Linked DNA regions of Callithrix jacchus. The protein of the gene in region 1 interacts with the protein of each later gene in a biochemical or structural test. Links are inferred from orthologs where the notes say so. Each region holds a gene or a part of one and is shown in the gene's direction. Other genes may lie near its edges. The genes, in order: REL and NFKBIE.

Region 1 (3,825 bases):
AGAATAAAATTTAGATTAATAGATGCAGTTACTTTGTTTTCCCATTGTTATTTCTTTTGTTTCTTATTTACTAGATGACATAGAAGTTCGTTTTGTGTTGAATGATTGGGAAGCAAAAGGCATCTTTTCACAAGCTGATGTACACCGTCAAGTAGCCATTGTTTTTAAAACCCCACCGTATTGCAAAGCTATCACAGAACCTGTAACAGTAAAAATGCAGTTGCGGAGACCTTCTGACCAGGAAGTTAGTGAATCTATGGATTTTAGATATCTGCCAGATGAAAAGGGTATGACATTATGCTGGTAATAATTTATATATTTCTTAAAGTGGTCCTGCTAATAACATCTTGTAAGATTCATTTAAATACAGCTATGTATATTCATAATTTGTGTTTCTTTTCCTGGAAACTTTCCGTTGGGTTTTTTTCTTTATGCTCTTTGCATCTCATTTGTTGTTTTTTTTTTTTTTTTTGGTTTTGTTTTTTTGAGACTGAGTCTTACTCTATCACCCAGGCTAGAGTGCAGTGGTGCAATCTCAGCTCACTGTAACCTCCGCCTCCCGAGTTCAAGCAGTTCTGCCTCAGCCTCCCAATTAGCTGGCACTATAAGCACGCACCACCACCCCCAGCTACTTTCGTGTTTTTATTAGAGATGGGGTTTCACCATGTTAGCCAGGCTGGTCTCTGCGTTTCTTTCTTAAGAAAGAGGTTTGGGCCAAGCTCGGTGGTTCACGTCTGTAATCCTAGCACTTTGGGAGGCCAAGGTGGGCGGATCACAAGGTCAAGAGATGGAGACCACCCTGGCCAAAATAGTGAAACCTTGTCTCTACCAAAAATAGAAAAATTAGCTGGGCATGGTGGCACGCACCTATAGTCCCAGCTATTTGGGAGGCTGAGGCAGGATATTTGCTTGAACCTGGGAAAAAGAGGTTTCAGTGAGCCGAGATCATGCCACTGCACTCCAGCCTGGCGACACAGCAAGACTCTGTCTCAAAAATAAAAAAAGAGGTTTGATTAGTATGGAATAATTTCAAAGTATCTAAACTGCTTATTAAAATTTCTATTGTATTTTTGAAGGTCTATTTTTGTCCTTGTGCACTTACCACTCAGAGAGTAGTCTCTATATTGACTTCTTATCCAACCTTATTGTATTAGTTCACATTATTGACTTGTGTGATAAGAAAACAAGATGAATATTTTAAACTGTTTGTTTTGGTTTGTTTTGAGACAGGGTCTCACTCTGTCACTCAAGCTGGAGTGCAGTGGCATGATCATGGCTCACCAGAGCTTCAACCTCCTGGGCTCAGGTGATTGATCATCCCACCTCATCCTCTCTGGAGTACCAGGACTACAGGTGTGCACCACCACACCAGGCTAATTTTTGTGGGTTTTGTTTGTTGGTTTGAAATGGAGTCTTGCTCTATCTTCACCAGGCTGGAGCGTAGTGGTATGATTTCGGCTCACTGCAGCCTCTGCCTCCCGATTTAAGCGATTCTCCTGTCTCAGCCTCCTGAGTAGCTGGGACTACAGGCATGTGCCACCACACCCAACTAATTTTGTATTTTTAGTAGAGACAGAATTTCACCATGTTGGCCAAGCTGGTCTCAAACTCCTGACCTCAGGTGATCCACCCTCTTTGGCCTCCCAGAGTGCTGGGATTACAGGCATAAGCCACTGTGCACAGCCAGTTTTTGTATTTTTTGTGGAGACAGGGTTTTGCCATGTTGCCCAGGCTGTCCTCAAACTCCTGGGCTCAAGTGATCCACCTGCCTCTCGAAGTGCTGGGATTACTTTAAACAATTTTTTACCAAGAGAAAAATATCCTTTACTACTGATAGTACTGATTTGGGACATATTCTATAATACTTATTAAATCCAAATTATATACATATTTATTGAAAACATTTTCTATATGTGAATAAAATACTTGTTTATTAGTGGAGAGTTTAATTTTTTACCTGCTTTTTTTGGTTTCTTTCTAATCAGATACTTACGGCAATAAATCAAAGAAACAAAAGACAACTCTGCTTTTTCAGAAATTGTGGCAGGATCATGGTAAGAATATTTTTGATTGATTCATATTTAAATAGGTTTTGTTTTATTTGCTTTATTCAGGTTTTCAATTTTTACTTTTGTTTTGTTTTTGTTTAGTAGAGACAGGGCCTGTCTTTCAGCCAGGATGGAGTGCGGTGGGGCAATCTCAGCTCACTGCAACCTCCACCTCCCAGGTTCAGCAATTCTCCTACCTCAGCCTCCTAATTAGCTGGGATTACAGGCATGTGCCATCACACCTGGCTAATTTTTAGTATTTTTATTAGAGGCGGGGTTTCCCCATGTTGGCCAGGCTAGTCTCAAACTCCTGACCTCACGTGATCCACCACCTTGGCCTCCAAAAGTGCTGGGATTATAGGCAGAAGCCACCACCTCTGGCTGGTTTTTCAAATTTTAACTGATAGTGTTATTTTTCAAATTATATTTAATAATGGAAAAACTTTATCCTAACAGTTAATTTTCCTGAGAGACCAAGACCTGGTCCCCTTGGATCAATAGGAGAAGGAAGATACATCAAAAAAGGTATTTTATTTCCTATAGCATATTTCTTGTGATTAGAAAGACCAGAGCTTGGCACAATGTATTGGAACTCTGTATTTAGGAATGAATAACTACTTTTTTGAAAATTTTCTCTCCTTCAGATTTTTCTTGGTTTCAGTATAGAATGAATTGAACATGGCTTCTGAAGGTTGTGTTAGAAACAGATTGTGTTTTTGGGATTTATTTTTCAAGAAATAACATGTGTTTTATACAGTAGCAATTTTATTAATTATATCATGTTATGGAAAAAATGTTATTGATTTGGTTAGTTACCAATTTTTATAAATACAATTTTACTGGAACATGGCTATGAATATTTGATTAAATACTGTCTCTAAACTGCCTTTTTAACACCATGGCAACAGAGTTGAAAAGTTCCAACAGAGGCTGTATATAGCTCACAGAGCCTAAAATATTTACTATCTGACTTTTTACAAGAAAAAAAATTGCCAATCCCTAGTTTAGATAATTTGACCAAGGGCTAACGGGCTAATTAGAAGTCCTTTCTACCCCCTTACATTCTTAAATCAGTGCTTTTTCCTGGTTTAGGTTGTCAAGCATTTGTATAATATGTAAATAAATACAGAATTAATTTTTTCTGACTGTGAATTTTATAGTCTGTTAGGATTGTGTCATAATATATCTTAAAAGTTGTGTATTTTCTTATTATCCCTAATGGGTGTTTTCTCCATCCTTCCATTTTCTCCTAAAAGTGGAGAGTAAGAGATGATTTTGGCTGTTTGGAGTCCCATTAATTAAAATTCTCATATTTATCTTCCAGTTTTCAAAAATACATTTATAGAGCCTCAGAAACTAGATTTTCATTTAACTGGAGTGAAAGTACATATGCCAGAGTAATTTGCCAAAATCATTTTTCCTGTATTTGTAAACGGTATATGTTACAGAATTTCATTTTGGATTTGTGTAATAATTTTAGTGCTTTTTACATTTTTTATTTGAAATGTTACATTGGTTTCCTTGACATTTTTTTGTGTATTTATTTGTGTTCATATGCAATTTTAATTTAGAAATAATACTTTTTCTAATTTTGTTTATTTTAATTTTGTAAAATAAATTTTTCCTCCCACAGAACCAAACTTGTTTTCTCATGGTGCAGTTGCGACAGAAATGTCCAGACCTACAGGGATTTCAAATCAAGGAGAATCCTACTATCTCTCACTTGGGCACATCTCAAGTGGATTGTCACGTCATGCCTCAATGCCACCTCCGCCTT
Region 2 (2,750 bases), on another chromosome or scaffold:
CCCACATGCCCACCCAGCCGAGGCCCTCCTGAAGGCCATCAGTGGGAACTTGGAGCTCCAACCCCTAGGATCCTGGCTTCCCACATCAACCCTTACTTCCTGGCCCAAATTCTCACTTGCTGGACCTACCCTATGGGTAGCTAGTAAAAGTTGATGTGTTCCTTCTAACCCCAAGACCCCAACCCACTCCCTGTGGCCTGGGCCCTAACTGTAAGCCCTGCCTCTGCTCCCCTAGGCTGGTCCACCTGGCAGTGATTCACGAGGCCCCAGCAGTGCTGCTCTGTTGCCTGGCTTTGCTGCCCCAGGAGGTCCTGGACATTCAAAACAACCTTTACCAGGTTGGTGACGAGAATGGGTTGTGCCCAGATACCTGTTTGTGCCCTGACAGCCATCCCCAGCAGCCACGCTAGTCCATAGGCCGCTCACTGAGAAAACCATATGCCAGACACTGAGCTAGAAGCTGAAGAGACAAACACAAGTAAGACACAGCCTCTCCCTAAGGTGCTTGCAGCCTGGGCTGGGGGACTCGTGTCAACAGCTAAATACACAGCCTGGTGACAAGAGCTGTGATAGAGACACACACCAGCTGCTATGGGGTCCACCGTCCATGTGTAGCAGCCAGGGAAGGCTTACAGAGGAGGTGACATCTGAATGGAGCCTTTGCAGAGACGTTTGCCAGGGAAAGACTGCCTGGTGCCTCTATCTTTCCTCCAACATAACCCCTGCAGCCTAAGGCCTGGGGATAAGAGAAGTCTCCCCACAGGATGAGAGGCTAGACTCTGTCCCTACATATCCTTTCTCCAGGGCCTATGGTGACTTACAAGAAAAGCAGAGAGCTACTTTCTTCACCTTGCTTCCAGAATTGGGGTCCCAAGAGATTGGTGGGACTCAGGCGTGACAGGAGAAGGGCTTGGTAGTATTTCCTTGGAAGCCCAGGCTATGACCTTTATAAGTGGCTTTCAAAGAAGACGCTGGCAGCTAGTGATTCTGGAGCCCAAGCTTGTTCCCAGAGGTGGGAGCATGCTGCAGTGGCCCCATGACCCTCTATTTGTGCCTCCAGACAGCACTCCATCTGGCTGTACATCTGGACCAACCGGGTGCAGTTCGGGCACTGGTGCTGAAGGGGGCCAGCCGGGCACTACAGGACCGGCATGGTGACACAGCCCTGCATGTGGCCTGCCAGCGCCAGCACCTCGCCTGTGCCCGCTGCCTGCTGGAGGGGCGGCCAGAGCCAGGCAGAGGACCATCTCACTCTCTGGACCTCCAGCTGCAAAACTGGCAAGGTGTGGACAGTCTTAGGGCCTGTGGGAGGAGGAGGGCATAGGAGATAGGGCTCCCATTCTTGGGGAAGGGAGGGTCCCAGCTTGTCCATTGGTGCCCCTCCCACTGTAAGCACATAGATATACAGCACATCTTTGCTAAATGAATGAATGGATGAGTTAGAATTTACCCAGTACCTACTGCGTGCTGAGCAGAAAACTAAATCTTGCTTTTAAGGTACTTAGTTTAACAGAGATCAGATGACCCGATTCATTCATTCAACAGAAACATGCCGAGGGTTTTCTGTGTGCCAGACATTATCCTAGGAACTATGCTTGCGTCTGTGTGCAAAACAGAGAAAGATTGAGACAAGCAATAAATACAAGAAGTGAACTATGTAATAAGTTAAAAGGAAGCAAGTGCTGTAGTGAAAAGTAGAGCAGTGAGGGGAAGGAATGTGGGGAACAGGAGAGTTGATAGGATTGTTAAATAGAGTGGTCAGGGAAGGCCTCATGGAGCCAGGGACATCCGCACAGGGACTTGAGGGAGGTGAAGAATGTAAGTTTGAATCAAAATCTCTATTACTAAGCAAGGGTCAGGAAGTGTCCAAGTGTCCAGACCAGAAAGGGGACAGCAAAAAGGCCAGGAGAACACACAGAAGGAAGTGGCCCCTGAGAAAGGGCTGGGGTCATGAGGATCCTAGATGGCTTTTCAGAAAAGATGGCTTTCAGACTGGGCTTGAAGGCAGGTGTGTGTGTGTGTGTGTGTGTGTGTGTTTTGTGTATAGGAGGAGGGTGTTTTTTTGGCATGTCACTCAGCAACTTGACTCCTGAAGCATGAAAGTTTCAATAACATGACTCTGAAAAGGTGGAAACTTTGAGTTCCTTTCCCCTTAAATTTTTGAGGGGGTTTTGGGGTTTGCATTTTAACAGTCTTGTGATTAGAGACATTGAGTGGGCAGTGAGTCCCTTGGGGCTGAATGGCTGGAAGGTCCCGGAAGAGAGGGAGTTGGTGGATGCAGATCAGCAGCCCTCACCCTCACCCCATCCCAGGTCTGGCTTGTCTCCACATCGCCACCCTGCAGAAGAACCAACCACTCATGGAACTGCTGCTTCAAAATGGAGCCGACATTGATGTGCAGGTGAGGCAGCCATCAGCACACTGCCTGGCACAGGGCCTTCCCCCCACCTGACTCTGCCCCCCACCTGACCCAGCCCCAAGCCCCCTGCCCAGCGGTCAGAAGTGGTAGCATTTACCTCCTTATCCAGAGCCTGGGCCCAGCACACTGCCTCTGAAGGCCTTGGCTGATATCCTTATTTCTTCCCAGGAGGGCACCAGTGGGAAGACAGCGCTGCACCTGGCTGTGGAAACCCAAGAGCGGGGCCTGGTACAGTTCCTGCTCCAGGCTGGTGCCCAGGTGGATGCCCGCATGCTGAACGGGTGCACACCCCTGCACCTGGCAGCTGGCCGGGGCCTCATGGGCATCTCAT

What was found.
Region 2: the proteins of REL (region 1) and NFKBIE form a complex in vitro, tested with the Homo sapiens proteins (2 studies listed by BioGRID). The link is inferred for Callithrix jacchus from reciprocal best matches to the Homo sapiens genes REL and NFKBIE.

The regions. Positions count from the first base shown.
Region 1 is NC_133515.1:53,212,513-53,216,337, reverse strand, and holds part of REL (proto-oncogene c-Rel), read left to right. Parts: intron 1-74; coding exon 75-287; intron 288-1,985; coding exon 1,986-2,054; intron 2,055-2,504; coding exon 2,505-2,573; intron 2,574-3,681; coding exon 3,682-3,825. UniProt on the Homo sapiens protein: Proto-oncogene that may play a role in differentiation and lymphopoiesis.
Region 2 is NC_133505.1:52,725,654-52,728,403, reverse strand, and holds part of NFKBIE (NF-kappa-B inhibitor epsilon), read left to right. Parts: intron 1-235; coding exon 236-338; intron 339-1,060; coding exon 1,061-1,283; intron 1,284-2,312; coding exon 2,313-2,401; intron 2,402-2,587; coding exon 2,588-2,750. UniProt on the Homo sapiens protein: Sequesters NF-kappa-B transcription factor complexes in the cytoplasm, thereby inhibiting their activity. Sequestered complexes include NFKB1-RELA (p50-p65) and NFKB1-REL (p50-c-Rel) complexes.